Linked DNA regions of Bombyx mori. The protein of the gene in region 2 purifies or fractionates together with the protein of the main gene of each other region. This does not show direct contact. Links are inferred from orthologs where the notes say so. Each region holds a gene or a part of one and is shown on either strand. Other genes may lie near its edges.

Region 1 (5,655 bases), on a different chromosome or scaffold from region 2:
TCCTTCGTGCTCACCAGGCCGGAGTGGGGCAGGGCCGGCATAGCTACATTCATGCTGTACCATCTACTTCAGGTATACTCGCCCATGAGGAACAGTAAGGCGGACATTTATTGCGATATTTCAGGAAGATGGATCTGGTTACCACATAATCCAGTCTCCGTAGTGGAGAAACTTTCTTTAAAAAAGAAAGTTGTATCTCCAGTGAAGAACATACGAAGTAAGAACATATCGCCAGATCTTAATACGTTGACTGCCATGTAGGTCACCGGTGCCCTACGTGGCGCACTCAAGTAATTATGTCGATTTCTCTCTTTTCTATCTTCTTACTAAGGCGCTGAAACATCTCGTAGTCGCTGGGAAAGAATTCGAAGATACTGAGAATGAATATATTTCTGGAGACCTAAAATACTAAAACATATTATATTAAACACAAAAGAAGGCAAAATTAAGCAATCCCAGCGCTTAGTAATAGAGATCGACATAATTACCTCAGTGCGCCGCGTAGGGCATCAGTGCCCTACATGGCGGTCAACGTATTAATATAATATTAATTCAATCAGTAAAACGGATCATGATATGGGTTGCATGGCAACGGACACAAAACTGTTCATTTTTTTTAAATAAAGAAGGTTCACCCTGCATTGAATACTGGTGACTTCAGGTCAAAGTTAGGTTATATATAATCTTACTCTATGGGTCAAAGTATCAACTGCATTGTATGTTTACCTTAAATTATTTGCTAATATAAGGTTCAGGCTTAAGTGTTGTAGACAATTACCTTTTTTACTTACAGACTTGCACGGGCCAAGATATCACACTGCATGTGTCACCAACAAATCCAGCTATATTTTTATATCAAAAATTTGGCTTCAAAGTGAGTATCATGAAAACCCTATTTCTCTGGTATTATGGTACAATGTATTATCAGCATATTATGATACATTATGAATATCACTCAATGTATTGTAATTATTATGTAAACTTATCTGGAGTTTTACAAAACTGCTTCACGCCAGAAACATGCTGATGCATAGATTAGTCTACTATTTCAAAGCTACTAAAATTTTGACCTCATACCTCATATTACCAATGTATCTATGTATCTAACTATTTTCATCGCATTTTACACTACCACATTATTTGTTGATAATGAATCCAAAAGTAACATTTTGTGCACAAAGAACAGACAAACAGACAACGTGAACTATGAATATTTCATTTCTGCAGTTGGGCTTCTGAGCTCACACCCAACTCACCTATCCCAAAGTATTGTAATGTCACTGCTCTCACACTGTTCAAGTTATATTGAAAGTATGAATACTTTAAGACTAAAATAGGCACATTAGTGGTAGAAATACACACAGGCTAACAATACTTTGTTGCATAATAATTTTCGATTGATAAATAGTTGACAAGTGTGTGTATCTGCAATTCAGCATAGCATATGTGGTGTTAAATGATACCAATTTGTCATAGTCACAATGGTTTACTTATAAAACCTTCATATAACAAATAATCATAAATTTTCCTAGTCTTATTTACATCTATTTTAACAATTTTCCTTGCATCTAAAAGTCGTAGGAATCCAAGCTTACTGTTCTGAGCTATAAGATGCTCTTTTATTTCCAAGTAGTTTGTTGGTACAAGCCTCAAATTAGAACATAGTACTTGTTCAGCCTCACTCAGCCTGTGGAAACCTGGCAAGTCAATTATTTCTAAGGGCATTGCCATACGCTTGTAACGCAGCACTTGGTGGTTTTTTGTGTACATAGTCTTCACTGGTGATTGATTTTCAAATTTCTTGGCCATAACACATGTAGCATACTTTTGTTCTTTCATGATTATGTCATTTTCTTTTTTAAGTTGCTTATAAAGTTTGGCAGTATAAAGAGTTTTTATACCATTCTTACGGTATTCACATAAATGTCCAATTCTCTGTAACAGCTCGTTCTCTAAGCTCATGGATTCCATGAAAGCGTCAAACTGTATTCCTGTCATGAACTGCATGAAGCAAAGCAATCGTTCTGCTTTCTGTCGTGTTATAGTGAGGTCAAACTTTTGGATCCATGAGAAAAGCTTATTTGGCATTACTAAGCCATGATTCTGTATAATTTTATACCTTCTATGTCTTTCTCTTAATCTTGTATTAAGAGCATTCACTAAAGACACCTTTAAAGAATCCATCATGTCCATTTCATCCTCATCCTCATCATCATCTTCAGAGTAACTGTCTTCAATATTAAATATGCTTTCAGCATTGTGATCATAACTGAATTCAAATTCAGATCTATATGTATTGTAACCAGCTAAATGTTGATCTGAACTGTTATTTCTAGGCGGATTAGTGCTTACATCTGTATTGTACAAGTATGGAGTAATTGGCATTGGAAAAAGTGACTGTTGTGTTTCCTTTAGTAATCTCAATTCTTTATACTGCACATTCTCTATGTAATATTTCCTATAATGCTCTTGACATTCGAGTTTAGAACGTGTGTGCACATTCTTAGATATTTCTTCCCAATTTCCGAATCCGTATGTAGAAAGTGCTGATAACAATTTGCACTCTTCTTTAGCAGACCAATTGCAATTACCGAATAATGGAAAATCATTTCTTCTTATCGCGTATTTGTGGTCATTTTTATGCATTTCTGTTTCCTTGCCGGATGAAAAACAAGGAGTGCAAACATTGCTTTCGCACTCGCAACATTCGATAAAAGGCTCGTGTGCGACTTCTGAACACAAATCGCAGTTCGTTTGTAGTATATCTCTGGACATTATTTCAGGTTGAAGAACTTATACAAGACTTTTATGAGAAGTACTACGACATCGAATACAAGGGATGCCGGCACGCGCTCTTTCTTCGACTTGTCAGATAAATAAAGTAGTACTTTAAAAACCTTTATTTTATTTACAAACAAAACCTAATAGTCTAACTATCACTTACCTATTGAACAAACTTCAAAAATTCAAAAACAAAAGAACTAAACACCTACATTTCGATAGAACTTCACGCACAGATCAGTTGTTTATTGGTTTACAATAGAAGATAGTGATTTTTTTCTATTTAGTAAAACCGGTTAAACTATGTAATGTTAGGGATTACTATTTCAGCAAACGTTTAGAAAATACAATATTTAAGTAAGTACGGTTCCTACATAATAGTAGTAGTTTTATTTTTTCAACTGAAAAGTCAATGGTATCATACCATACAGCCTAATCTTTTATAATTCATTTTATATGAAAAATGATAATATGAAGTGTAATTAAATGAAGTTGATTAATGAAACATGGCATGAAATGAAATGAGGTTGGATAATATGGGATAAAATATAATCTCAGTAAAATGGTGGTCATTTACTAAGACTTTTTCAATTGACTTTTTGGAAGATCCCGAGAAGTTACGTCCAGTGCCTTTGTTTCATTTTCCCACATTTGTGCACTTTCACAGATACTAAACAGTTAATAAGCCACGTTATTACACATTTAAATCTAACAAACAAATCACACAACTTCACTCCTCGCGGTTCCGCCAAAAAGATCTTACCTTTTTTGTTCTTGCCCTGTCATACATACATAACTTTATTCAAAATAACTACATATCTCGGTGAGTAGGGATGGTGATCAGGGATTGATTTCTGTTTAAATCGATCTTTTTATCATTATAATAGCCAATCCATCTAGGACATTAGCAAATCAAAATGCATTTGCAAACAGGTTATCATCATATCATGTGTGAAAATCCATTATTATTGGAAAATGAAATAAAGTTGCTGAACGTGACGTCTCGGGTTCTTCCAAAAAATCTATTGAAACAACGCAAATTGATGACAATATCAGTTAATAAACAAATTCATTTCAATCCGATCCATTCCATTTGACATCAAAGCATCGATATTAAAAAAGTATTTTAAAGTCGGTGCTGGTGACATTACACGGAAAATAAAAAAAAAGCGAATATCGAAAAAATATATTTATGGGCAGTCGATTTTCTCTTTTTCGAGAAGAAGGATCATTCCTACTTTTTCATATATCTGTACTTATGTCTTTGTCAACGTTTACTATGTATCACTGCTAAATATCTGTTACGACTTCATACTTAACTCTTAGGTGTGTACTTATAGGTAAGGAGAACTATCTTAAAATGAGAGACAAGTTGAAGAAGCATCCGGCTGTAAGCAGCAAATTGCAATTCAGAAAACTCATTAAAACAGGGCTAGTGTAGCAAATGGATGATGTAGAAATTGTAAGGGAGTGAAGTATGCTTAGTTGAAAAACTTTCTGGGCTATCTTTAAAATTACACCACTGCCTACGATGGCGCTACCCTAATTGGTCGCCTTTCGACGATCACTTTTTCATACACAGAAAACCATTTCTCGAAAAGTATGGACGGTAAAGGCAAACAGCGGGTGATGCTTACAGCTGGTTCTGCTTACCTCTAACCTCCATACTTTACCAGCAACGAATAAAACACAGTGTTTTAGTTTACTTAGGAAAACTGGGTAACTAAATCCAAAATGTATCATTTGATTAACCCGCTATGATAGATGATGTTCTTCTTTGATAAGCTTCCTTAATTTTTGAATTTGTTAACAGTAGATCTAATAAAAAAAACAATCTAAAAGATATAATAAACACTAGTATCGCTTTAAAATAAATAATCCCCTTTTCAGAATAATCATTAAATAGATAATATTTTGAAAACATGAACAATTAAATATTGCATTTTTTATTTATTAAGTCGTAACAGAGAACATGGTAAAATAAAAAAGAAACAACGAGAACATACTGACATTTATAATCGGGTCGAGATTCGAGAAAATGACGTGCCCATTAGCCGATGAACATAGAAATTTATATTTGTCTCTTTTTAACATTAGCTAGTTCATATTGCTTTCTTTTTATTGCATCTCGCTCACGTCACGGGTGAAGGTCCTAGAATGTTCTAGATGTTTTGATGTATATATTTTGGTTCGACGAGAGCGCCGCGTTTCATTCAATTGTGATATTGCTGAAGTGAAGTGTTGAGTTTTGCGTTGTGATTATTTGCTAAAATTTCGTAAATTGTGCTTAAATTATCAAGGATTAAAGTTTCTCTAATACAAGTAAGTGTTCTGAAAATGCTATGTTGATTTTTTTCATTTAAAAACCGTGGTTTTGTTATAAAATGTGGTCTATCAAATTTATGAAACGAAAATGATCGACGAAATCGTGCTTCCAAAAAAGGTGTCAAACGTCGAGACTGATCTTTTTTTTTTGTTTCAGTACAAATCAAAATGGGCAAAGACTACTATAAAATATTGGGAATAACAAAAGGTGCTTCGGACGATGACATCAAGAAAGCCTACAGAAAATTGGCATTAAAGTACCACCCGGACAAGAACAAGGCTGCGGGCGCAGAGGAAAGGTTTAAAGAAGTGGCAGAAGCTTATGAGGTTTTATCGGACAAGAAGAAAAGAGAAATTTATGATGCGCACGGCGAAGAAGGCCTAAAGGGTGGTATGGGCGGGCAGAATGGTCCTGGTGGCGGTCAATCATTTTCCTACACGTTCCACGGCGACCCGAAAGCAACGTTCGCGCAGTTCTTTGGTTCGGCCAGCCCGTTCCAGGAATTCTTCGATCTGAATGGAGGTGGAACTACAACGTTCTTCGACCGC
Region 2 (6,120 bases):
CGAATGAATGTTTGACGGCGCGCGCCGTCAGTGGTCGGCATAAGACTTGTAAGCTTAGATTATAAGCTATGGTCAAGATGAGTGAATCTAATGAAGAAATTCGATACCTTTTAAAATTTTACTACAAAAAAGGTAAAAATGCAACGCAAGCCGCGAAAAAAATTTGCGATGTTTATGGACCTAGTGCAGTGTCTGTGAGAGTAGCACAAATTTGGTTTAAGCGTTTTCAATCCGGAAATTTTGATGTCAAAGATGCACGTCGCTCTGGTCGCCCTATTACGGATAAAATGGATGCCATTTTTGAATTAGTGGAGCAAAATCGGCATATCAGTAGTTACGACGTAGCTAAAGAACTGGGGAATTGACCACAAAACAGTTTTGGCGCATTTGAAAAAAATTGGGTACACAAAAAAGCTCGGTATTTGGGTACCTACCTCATGAGCTCACTGAAAAAAACCTAATGAACCGTGTACTAATTTGTGATTCTTTATTACGACGTAATGAAACCGAACCATTTTTGAAGAAGCTGATAACTGGGATGAAAAGTGGCTCACGTCCGACAAGAACGTGCGAAAAAGGTCGTGGTCAAAGGCCGGTAAGGCTTCACAGACTGTGGCGAAACCCGGGTTAACTCGCAACAAGGTGATGCTGTGTGTGGAGGGATTAGAAGGGCATTATTCATTATGAGCTGTTACCACTAGGCTGGACCATCGATTCTGAACTGTACTGTGAACAACTGATGAGATTAAAGCAAGAAGTTGAGAGAAAGCGGCCGGAATTAATCAAGAGAAGAGGTGTAATTTTTCATCATGATAATGCTAGACCTCACACATCTTTAGCCAATCAGCAAAAATTAAGAGCCTGGCTGTGAGGTGTTAATGCATCCGCCGTATAGTCCTGACCTTGCAGCTTCAGATTTCCACCTGCTTTGGTCTCTTTAGAATTTTTTAGGCAGTGTCAGGTTAACATCACAAGAGCACTACCAAAATCAATTGTCGCAGTATATTGATCAGAACCTCCAAAAAACCTACAAGATAGCAAAAAGTTATTGAACAAAATGGTATTAGTTAAATATAAATAAACTATATTAAAAATGTCGTGAATTTTCTTAAAAAATGTTAAGAAACTTTTCCCCAACCTTATATGAGTCGACTATTATCAAAGCCGGCAATGTGACTTTTGGACAATTATTGGTAAATCAGAAAAACGAATTATTGACTTTGTATTCCATTGGCAGTCACAAAACTCTTCTTAACTACATCTTAGATAAATAACAGGTTAAGTATTAACCTTTATTTAATGCAGGTTTTGAACCGTATTCTTTGAAGGAGACGATTATATTCAAATCAATCTGTATTGACATACCAATAACATTTTTTTGTCCAAATGCACAGATTGCCACCTTTGATAATAGACGACTCGTATATAACAAAATAAAATGAGGTAATACAAAATCTGCAGTAAATAAAAAATTTGCATTAGCATTCATTAGTTCTGTTCTGTGCAGATTCACAAGACATCTTACCACCAGAGTAATTGTGCAAATTATAAACTTGCAGGTTTGATTTTTTTTACATGATGAGAAGTCCCTACACGGTGGAAGTCTATTGTGAACATTTGTTAAATACATATTTCATTAGAATAATTGGTACCCACCTGCGGGATTCAAACATTGTTGCATCACTAGATAAAAATGCACTAAACATCTTATCCTTTAAAAAGTCAAGGCCATAATCCAAGGCCAAGGTCAAATTTGCCAAATAAGTAGTTAGTAGTCACAGTAATAAAACAAGTATTTTTCCATATTTAATTCAACAGATACTCCTAGAATAATTACCACATGTTATTTTTGTATCATGCCGAACACTAATATCTAATTTGAATTTGGACCCGTTTGTGGCAAAGCATTGATTTCTTTGTTTAGCCTTATTTGTTCATTTATTGCTTTCCAAGCATCTTCTTTTTCCTTCTTAGTAACAGGGCGCTTCTTTTGTTTAGCCGCTACCATCTTTTTATAAATATCAATACATTCTAGATCCACTTGATCCAGTTGCTTTTTCAGATTCAGTCTAATCATTTCTTGTTTACACAAACCAATTAAATTTTTAAGATTTCGACAATTCTCTTTACGTACAGCTGTTAATTCTGTTTGACATTTTTTAATCTCTGCTAGTATTTCATCATCAGCTGGATTAGTGAGAGGTGGTAAATCCTCTGGATCAAGTATTCCTTGTTCAACCAATTCCTTCCTCAAACACTTTTCTAATGTTAATGAATTCTTGTAGCCACTTTTAGTGGTGGAGACCATTTTTACTTTAATATCAGGTATTTCATAAGACATCACATTCTCTTCCATAAGAGCAGAGACTAATCTTTGTGTCAAAGGTCCAGTTATCATGCTTTCTGATGACTTTTCTAGCTTCTTACGAGCATGAGATGCATCTGGAGACATAGATGATTTTTGCTTATTAGGATTAGATGCATTTTGATCTTCAGCAAGATGTTCATCTGCCCAAACTTCTGAGTAATGCTTTCCTAATGGAGGGATCGGAGGTAGTGTGGTGTTACTGCTTTGAGCTAATAAGGACTCTAAAAATTTTATATCATCCAATGTTACAGGAGCACAATAAGGCTCTACTGAATTCCAAAATTTATATGGGATATTATTTTTAGGCAGTGCTAATTGTGAAAGTTCAAGTTTTACAGAGTTGTCTGAATTCACTAAATCATTAGAGTAGGTATGAGATCCTGAGGAAGCGTTTGAGAAATTTTTAAATTTAGGCACTTTTGGCTGATTGGATAATTTTGTGTAGTCTTTAGTTTTAACCACTTTGTCATCTTGAAATTTTCTTTTTACAGGATACTGTAGCTGTTTACCGGCTGCTTTGCCTTTTTTTTCTCTTTTAGATTCATTCGAATCTATGCTTTCTATTTCAGATTGAAAATATCTGCATCGTAGGGCAGTATTACATAGCAATGACTCTAATTCCAACTGTAACCCATCCAGCTCATCCATCCCAATAGGTTCATCAGCAGATCTCGCTGCAACCGCAGTAAATCGTGGCAAAAGCACTGCATTATCTTGTATTTTAATGTATGGAATTGGGCATGTCTCAACTTTGATTTTGGCAGTAGAAACAGAACCTGGAATCTTTGTTGGTTTAGTGTATGGTGTAATTCCAGGGCTTGATGGCTTTCCATTGTCTTTGTTAGCTAGTCTGCCTTTGCTATTATGATGCATCCTCTTACCCAGCATCTCGATTCAATATAATTTACCCGCCAAAATAAATAACACAAGCCCAATATTCTACGCTAATCTACATTATTTATTGCACTGAAATCTTGGAATCACTTTAAAATGTTAGACTTTAAAGTACTTAACGTTAATATCACGTCTATGACTCAACTTGTGTTGATTTTTTAAGACAAAAGCGTAATTCTTAAAGTTTCTCTAGTACAGCAAAACAAATGCCGAAATCACAGAACAAAATGGCGTTCAGAAAATAAAACTTATTTTTTATTTGATACCGTTTTTAACACAGAAGCTTTACCTTTTTTTTAAGGGATTTTATGACCTGGTAACTAAGACCTTTAAGTCATTTCTGATTTTAAATTATATTCATATTTTTATGAAAAATGATATTATGGAGTGAAATGAAATGAATATGATTAATTTGAGACATTAATCAACTGGGATGAAATTAAATGAAATGAGATGAGATGATATGGGATGAAATATAATCTCAGTAAAATGGTGGTCATTTACTAAGATTTTTTCAGTGGACTTTGTGGAGGATCCCGAGAAGTTACGTCCAGCGGCTTTGTTTCTTTTTCCCACATTTGTGCACTTTCACAGATATTAAACAGTTAATAAACCACCGTTATTACACATTTAAACCTGAAGAAACACTAAATAGACAAAATAAAACAAATCACACAACTTCATTCCTCGCGTTCCCGCCAAAAAGTCAGAAGTTTTACCTACTTTTTTTTTAAGTGATTTTACGACCTGGTAACTAAGACCTTTAAGTCATGTCTTATTTTAATTTATATTCATATTTTTATGAAAAATGATAATATGGGGTGAAATGAAATGAAAATGATTAATTTGAGACATTAATCAACTGGGATGAAATTAAATGAAATGAGATGAGATGATATGGGATGAAATATAATCTCAGTAAAATGGTGGTCATTTACTAAGATTTTTTCAGTGGACTTTGTGGAGGATCCCGAGAAGTTACGTCCAGCGGCTTTGTTTCTTTTTCCCACATTTGTGCACTTTCACAGATATTAAACAGTTAATAAACCACCGTTATTACACATTTAAACCTGAAGAAACACTAAATAGACAAAATAAAACAAATCACACAACTTCACTCCTCGCGTTCCCGCCAAAAAGTCCAGTTTTACCTACATAAAGTCAATGTTGCCACTTGTCATTTGTCAGTCAACAGATTGTCAGATTAGTACCTATATACCTACCTAATTCAAAGAGAAAAATGAAGGAATACCATATCACCGAAAAAAGTGTACGTTAAAAGAGAACCAATTAAGGTAGCGCCATAGTAGCTAGTCGAAAAAATTTAAGAACCGCCTTAAACTACCACACTGCAAATATTTATTTATTTATAACTTCTTATACTAGAAAGTATAAAGGCGGATTTAATGCCATAGACATTCTCTACCAGTCTACCTTAGGGGAGTGCAGAGATGAAGCTTGGTAGGTGTAGCGTGAAGGTGATATTACTTAAACATGTGTATATATAACATACATAATATTTATAGATACAAATACTCATACTTAAATAAATACATAGACGTAAATATATAGATATACATAAATATATACATATACATATCATAAATATATACATATAAAAACATATATAAACAAACATTATCAATTAGATGACGAATGATCGGCGGCGACGATGAAAGCATACGGAGTGTAAGTGTAACTCGCTGACACACGGAGATAACCTGGGCTCGCCAACTCAGACTGGAGTCAATAAGTAGGCCTAGGTCCTTTACAACTGAACACCAGTTGATGGTTGAGCCATCATATATAACCGATGGGACATATGCCATATCCAACCGATATAACAAGCGTTGACTTCCAACAATAATAGCCTGACATTTGGCGAGATACACGCTTATGCCGAAACCGTCAGACCAGGATTTAATGTAGGACAGATCGTTATTTATTTTTCCAACTGCCGAAGACACACTATCGACTCCAGCCTCAGCATAAAGCTGCAAATCATCGGCATATAGATGGTACGCACATTGAAGATTTTCGGTAATGAGATTAATAAAAATTGAAAATATTAGAGGAGAAAGAATGTACTGTAAAAGTACTGTAAGGTGTGACGAAAATTTAGTATATTGCAAAGTTCTAGTACTACTACCATTCCCTTATAGACTTACCGTAATAGGGGTAGTGTAAGAAGTGGAAATGATACGAATATAGCATAGCGTTTAAACAGTGTGAAGTGTGCTGGATTGCAGTGAAGGCTATGTTACAATTGGAACACGTAAAGCCCTCTGAAGTCTTAGTAAATTCCCAAAATTTTAGTAGGACAACATCTCGTTCCATTCCAATACTTCCAATATACTTTATTACGGTGTATATATATTATAGTGTACGGATTCAAATTAATCAACTATATTTATAGTACATATACGGATTTTATTAAGTCGATTCTGGCAGCGATGGCACTACCACAGAAGCCAATAGTCATACTGAATACACCAGGAGAAATTAGCACCATTTTGACTTTTGCACTGTCCCATGATATTTCATATCATGCTATCTCGTTTCAATCCATTTGTTTCATTTTCTTCCGAAAAGATTATAATCTCAAATAAATCAAATTCATCTCATTTCGTTCCATTACTTATTATTTTTCAGAAAAGTTTTATACCGTACTTGATGCTACGCACACTGCTTGCTAAACATACTGAAGTATGAAACCTAAGGTCTACTATAGCTCAACAGCAATGGCATTGCAAGAAGATAATTGCCATAATAGAAAAAAAGAAGATAAGAGTTTGTCATAGATTATACTAATATTTAAATTGCGCTGAGTGAGCGAGTTTATCATTGCTTTCTTCTTT
Region 3 (6,769 bases), on a different chromosome or scaffold from region 2:
TTGTTTGGCAGACCGAGGGTCCGAATGTTATTGTTCGGAACTTATTCAGGCAATCTTGAAAGTGTCTTTCGAAATTCAGACACTTGTCCAATATCTTCTGTTCTGCATAGTGGCGGTCTACGGTCCAATGTTTTTTTTTTATCATTCTTTATAGGTGCTCCTGTAAGTTGAGCGCATAGCATTTTATGATCTGAATGAAAAGTTCTGTTTAAGTTTACGTCTTGAAGGTTTTTGGGCTTTTTGGCCAAGATAAAGTCAATTTCTTTTTTATATGTTCCATTTGAAGAGATCTGTGCCAGAGATTTTTCATATAGAAGCCATTGAGAATGGTCAATTTATTATCTAAAGCAAAAGTGCCTGTGTGCCTCCATCTTTTACCATGTGCATATTTTCCCATTGCATTATCTTATTTATTAACGTTACACCTTCCTATTTCTGTAAGAAGTACTAAGTCTAAGATTGTTATTCTTTCTAATGTGACTATTATTGCTTCAATTGTGTGCAAGTTTCTTTTTAATTTGAAATCCTACACAATAGTCCTGGTCCCACCTTTGTAATGTTTTTTTTTATTTATTTTTGTCTACCTATGCCATTAGCCTCGAGAGGTTATCTTGAGGACTTTAGTATAGGACCTAAATCTTCTATTCCTTCACTAGAAGATATGCTTTTCAATTCACTGATTCCTTTTCCAACCTACATTATGTCTGCCACGGCTATTTTCGAGTTCATGAAGTTTCTCAATACTTCATAATAATTATATCCGAAATGAATTTGTTAATCTTAGAAGGTCATGGTGTTTTTCCTCTGCGCGGACCAGTCTGCTTGGGGTAGCGAATTTAAAATAACAAACCTTAAATAAATAGTAGTAAACTTGTTTAGTGTTGTGGTCATCTTCTCTTTGCATCGACATAAATATGTTCTCTACGTCTACAACAGCACCGAGCAGCCTATTCACTTCTGCTACAGGCAAACCTTGTAGCTGACTTACATGTTTCTCTGGAAGCAGATACACAAAATATATCTTTGAAAATCCTATCCTACCTAACCTCCTAACCTACCATATTCCATTCATTAATAATGATAGCACATTCTGTAAATGAATGAAACATGAATTTTCTTGAATGAGAAATTTTTATGCTTAGTTTAGTAAATAGTGTTTCGTAGTTGTTTTCGGTATGTTAGAGTAGTTCTTTACTATTCATAAGACATATTGTAAATCAGAACAGCACTTATTCAATAAATTGAAAATAATTAAACGACGTGCTATTGAATAAAACTCTTAAATCATTTTACTACAAATTGTTTTTAAGACAAGTTTCAACCTAACCCTCTAGAAATTAAAGGCATTTATAAACTAGATTCCTCATTCATACCTAATACATGGTTGCAGTTTCTACACACGTCATTGAAGCTGGCAAGGGGCTGATTATCAGCCCGAGGAGTCTTGCCCGCATGCTGTGTTACTGGAGTCTTCCATCCATTGCAGTTACAATCTGGTGTCTACCACAAATATTAAAACTGATAGCTAATGATATATTGTCAGTCAAATTTGAATAAGTCCATAAACTTATAATGTTTGATGGTTAATGGTACTACTAACATCTAAATAGAAAATATTTGAATTGAGTCGTCTATTATCAAAGGCGGCAATCTGTGCATTTGGACAAAAAAATGTTATTGATATGTCAATACAGATTCATTTGAATATAATCGTCTCCTTCAAAGAATACGGTTTAAAACCTGCATTAAATAAAGGTTAATAGTTAACCTGTTATTTATCTAAGATGTCGTTCCGAAGAGTTTTGTGACTGCCAATGGAATACAAAGTCAATAATTCGTTTTTCTGATTTACCAATTATTGTCCAAAAGTCAGATTGCCGGCTTTGATAATAGTCGACTCAATTATAACATATTTTTTAATGTTTCTTTTCATTTTATTATTTCACAGAAGGCAGAATAATTAGAATTTGCGAAAGGATATGAAATCTAGAAATTAGATACTTATATTGTTATACAGTACACTTAACATTATGTTTTTCAAAATCATTTTCATCATTCATTGCTATTTGCTTTTAAGTTATGGGTATAATGTTAAGTTGAGATCAAGAGGAGTTACTTCGTTTTATTAAATAATGTTTTCATGGTTTTTAATTCCTTATCGCTTAAAAGTCATGATAGGACATCATTACATTCAGTGCATTAGTAACATTTTCATTTACAATACCTGACAGGCTGAATATATAGCTAGTTTGAGTAGTTTTTTATTATGGGGCCAGTTGAAAACTTGTTGTTTTCTTTGTTGTATCCTTTGTAGGTTAGACTGCCGGGAAGCCTGTCCTTCACTGCCTGCAGGAGTCCCGGCATTGCTTGATGATGCATCATCTGCACTTAAGCTTGATGTAGCTAGAGGAAAGTTTGTAAATGAACGCTGAGTTATTGCGGTAGTTTAGTAGCAAATTATAATAAATTTATTTGGAATTAAAGGAGAAGTTTGTTTTTCTTGGTGTTGAGATCTCCTGTGGCTATACAAAGCACACTGTGCAAGTTACTGTTCACCTTCAAATATCAGATCAATCAGATTACATTCCAAAATGACTATTTTACCTAGTAAAGCCTTCATAATTGCTTTGACAGATACAAACAAGAATGTAGTGGTAATTTTTACTGATAGCACTTTTTATTTTATTACTTGAACAAATATTCGCCAGCACCTTAATGATTATTAAACCTCTAATGTTGTTGTTGTTGTAAGCCTCTAATGATTATTAAACCTCTAATGTTCATTTTCAAACTTATTGCTTACACAGTTTCATATCCATGTTTGGGAATAGCAGCCTTTGGTCATTTTGTTTCTATATAATATTTTTATATATAATGACAAGAATAATTATGAGGAATGGATTTATCTGTCCCGCCATGTACATGGTGAATATCTGCTAATTCTTCTATGTAGTAATTGCAAGTTGGGCCATCACTTAAAATATGCTTTTCAATACATGGCCTATTAGTCGCCATACTTATATAAAGCTACACCACACCTGGTTTATAGCGGTGAATATTGTAATGAGGGTAGTCTGAGATAAGAAAGTTTATGAGAATATAGATAGACCTGGTTATGTAGTAGTAGCTCAAGAAAGTACGGTTTCCAGCCTTTCTGAAAAATAGCTGATCAGACTATCACTATATAAGATTCTTTTATATGTGTATGTAATAGAGAAATTACAAGTACTAATGGCTTACAACTATCTATAGAATAGCGGGAGAAATTACCACATACAAAACACAGTTGAATTTCGATTTTGTTAAAATTTAGCTCAATAGCTAAATTTACACACATACATTTAAATTTACAGTTACAATTAACTTGGTTCACGTGGTGTTTTCATTTTCAACTACATATATTAAAAAAGCCGATAAGATGTTAAGGTCATTATTCTGGTGATTTCTATACAAAATTATTAATTATAGTTGAAGAAGCGTGATTTTGTTTATTTACCTTCATGTGTATGATTTTGTGAGGAGTCTGGCTCTGTGCTTGTCATTGCTATGTCAGCTATTTCGTCAGTCGCTTGAGACATAATATACAATCACAAACAAATTTTTGTCGCAGTAATTCTTCCCGTAAATAAGAAGTCAACGCTCTCATTTATGTATTCACTGCATTTTGGAAATAGTTACACTGATAACATGAAATAAGGCGCAAACAACAGCAGTCAAACTTTTTATCAGAATTAGACAGTTGACGTTAACACAGATTTCAGATTCAAATGACAAGTATTGTCTCCTTCATAGATATTTTTTTTTTGGTACCATTTTTCCTTGTTAGGAAAGGCAAGGGAATCTAAGCCCATACAGCCTTGTCTGCTCTATATATTCTCTGAAATAAATTTTCAAAAAAGCCGAAGCCAGGTCTTATATGATATATCTTCATAGATAATACACTTGTCTCCTTTTTGCTATAATCTATGGAGGGTAGAGGTAAGGAGAACCGTCTGGACTTTTTGGCGGGAACGCGAGGAGTGAAGTTGTGTGATTTTTTTTATTTTTTTTGTCTATTTAGTGTTTCTTCGGGTTTAAATGTGTAATAATGGTGGTTTATTAACCGTTTAATATCTGTGAAAGTGCACAAATGTGGGAAAATGAAACAAAGCCGCTGGACGTAACTTCTCGGGATCCTCCAAAAAGTCCACTGAAAAAATCTTAGTAAATGACCACCATTTTACTGATATTAGATTTCATCTCATATCATCTTATTTAATTTCATCCCAGTTGATTAAAGTCTGAAATTAATCATTTTTATTTCATTTCACTCCATAATATCATTTTTCATAAAATTAAGAATATACATTAAAATAAGACATGACTTAAAGGTCTCAGTTACCAGGTCATAAAATCTCTTAAAAAAAAAGGAGAACCGTCTCTGGTAGTTTTCCAATAACAGCACAAGAGCGCATTAAGCGGCACAATGCATAAATAAGCTTCAGCATAATTCGGCATTGTGCGTCACTGAGTCGCATTATGCTCTGTAACTGGAAAACTACCTGTATTAGTTTTCCAATTACAGAGCATAATGCGACTCTAATATGCGAATATTATATATAAAACTTGATTACATTCAATTACTTATGATCAATTTATATTTAGTTGGAAAATGATCTGCGACAAATTTTTCCTGTAAGCTATGAGAGAATTAGAAAAAACATCTATTTCATCACTTAAAATTAGTTCAGCGCAATCGGACAACCCCGAATGAACATATGTTGTTGTTCAAAGCAGGCATGTAATTACCAATTATTCTAACAAATTTTGTTACTAAGGAATAAGTGATTAATGGTGGTATGGCTCATCATACGAGACTACTTGTCGAACCGTTCGTTCCGATATCGGGTCGAGGGAACGCACTCTCGCCCCCGTCACGTTACAGCCTACAGCCGGAGTCCCGCAAGGCTCCGCCCTCTCCCCGTTACTGTTTAATTTGTATATCAATGATATACCCCGGTCTCCGAAGACCCATCTGGCACTCTTCGCCGATGACACGGCTATCTACTACTCGTGTGGGCGTGTAGGAAGAAGTCGTTATTGCATCGACGACTCCAGACCGCAGCCACCACCATGGGACAGTGGTTCCGGAAGTAGCGCATCTACACAAACCCCATGAAAAGCACAGCGGTGCTCTTCAAAAGCTCTTCAAAAGGGGTCGCTCTCCGAATAACACCTTGAGCATTCCACTCCAGACTAGGCGCGTTAACACCTCCGCTTCCGCCATTCGCCCAATTATCATGTACGACCAACCCATACCGTGGGCCCCGAAAGCCAAATACTTAGGTGTCACCCTCGACAGAGGGGTGACATTCCGCCCCCACATAAAGACGGTACGCGACCGTGCCGACTTCATACTAGGACGCCTCTACCCGACGATATGCAGGCGAAGTAAATTGTCCCTTAGAAATAAGGTGACACTCTACAAAACTTGCATACGCCCCGTCATTACCTATGCAAGTGTAGTGTTCGCTCACGCGGCCCGCACCAACTTAAAATCATTCTAGGTTATTCAATCCCGTTTTTGCAGGATAGCCGTCGGAGCTCTGTGGTTCGTCAGGAACGTCGACCTCCACGACGACCTGGACTTAGAGTCCATCAGTCATCTGCAGTCGGCGTCGATGCGCCACTTCGATAAAGCGGCACGACACGAGAACCCTCTCATCGTGGCCGCCGGTAACTACGTTCCCGATCCTGCGGAAAGAGTGGAAAGCAGGCAACGTCACCCCAAACACGTCATTTTGGATCCTCCCGATCCACTAAGGGTGCTTTTAGGTACCTCAAGCACCCGTCGAACCCGTCGCTTGCGACGAAGGGCTCGACGAGTAAATTAACCCTCAGACACAGCCCACTGAGTTTCTCGCTGGATCTTTTCAGTGGGTCGCGTTTCCGATCCGGTGGTAGATTCTGCGAAGCACGGCTCTTGCTAGGGTTCGTTTTAGCAACGTCGTCAGGTTTGAGCCCCGTGAGCTCAGGTTAAGGTTACGCTGATATAGCCTCTCTATAGGCTCCGGTAACCACATAAACCAGGCAAACCGTGAGCTTGCCCAACAATCTAAGCGATTGAAAAAAATTATTACATTAAATTTTTTGTTTAATTAATTTTTTTCTTGTGTAGGGGAAAAATAACTGTCGTTTTTATTAATATTGATAGCACTAAAATTCATCAATAGTTAGGCACTGAACGAAAAAGAAAATAGATTTAAAAAAACAGCAGAGAATGGTCCCAAATTGTTTTTTTTTTATTGCTTAGATGAGTGGACAAGCTCACAGCCCACCTGGTGTTAAGTGGTTACTGGAGCCCATAGACATTTACAACGCAAATACGCCACCCACCTTGAGATATAAGTTCTAAGGTCTCAGTATAGGGTGGTACCTACCCGTGCGGACTCACATGAGGTCCTACCACCACCAAATTATTTGTTTACCAATATTAATAATTAAATTTTTACCAAATACCAAAAAGAATTATCTCTCAGACTGAAGCGTCAGCAGCGAGAAACAGAGGAATGTTTTTGTAAACAATCATCAAAGTGCCATAATGAAAATATCCATTAGTGATATTGTGGGAGAGGGTGCGTTTCACGGGACCGATCGCAGCTTGTGAACCCGCGTCACGTGTCAAACTTTCGCTATCTGGTCAGTTCACCCCTCATCAATCCTTCTAATCTATCTATCGGCTATGTCGCACCTACCCCGAAAATATCATAAAATATGGTCTCTTATTAGC

Evidence for each region. Proteins that work in one complex are often made in the same cells at the same time.
Region 1: the proteins of transcriptional adaptor 3 (region 2) and transcriptional adapter 2A purify together in Drosophila melanogaster (affinity purification with mass spectrometry; 5 studies listed by BioGRID, with this or other methods). This does not show direct contact. The link is inferred for Bombyx mori from reciprocal best matches to the Drosophila melanogaster genes Ada3 and Ada2a.
Region 3: the proteins of transcriptional adaptor 3 (region 2) and histone acetyltransferase KAT2A purify together in Drosophila melanogaster (affinity purification with western blotting; 3 studies listed by BioGRID, with this or other methods). This does not show direct contact. The link is inferred for Bombyx mori from reciprocal best matches to the Drosophila melanogaster genes Ada3 and Gcn5.

Annotation. Positions count from the first base shown.
Region 1 is NC_085111.1:1,074,520-1,080,174, reverse strand, and holds transcriptional adapter 2A, read right to left. Parts: upstream 2,784-5,655; 5' UTR 2,776-2,783; coding exon 1,477-2,775; 3' UTR 1,467-1,476; downstream 1-1,466. Other genes in the region: cysteine-rich protein 2-binding protein, read left to right, coding at 1-72, 794-874, 2,784-2,876; DnaJ-5 (dnaJ (Hsp40) homolog 5), read left to right, coding at 5,275-5,655. UniProt on the Drosophila melanogaster protein: Component of the histone acetyltransferase (HAT) complex ATAC; predominantly involved in acetylation of histone H4, including at Lys-6 (H4K5ac) and Lys-13 (H4K12ac).
Region 2 is NC_085109.1:9,154,859-9,160,978, forward strand, and holds transcriptional adaptor 3, read right to left. Parts: upstream 3,490-6,120; 5' UTR 3,257-3,489; coding exon 1,874-3,256; 3' UTR 1,794-1,873; downstream 1-1,793.
Region 3 is NC_085120.1:4,790,301-4,797,069, forward strand, and holds the start of histone acetyltransferase KAT2A, read right to left. Parts: upstream 3,767-6,769; 5' UTR 3,579-3,766; coding exon 3,497-3,578; intron 2,404-3,496; coding exon 2,225-2,403; intron 1,501-2,224; coding exon 1,374-1,500; intron 997-1,373; coding exon 851-996; intron 1-850.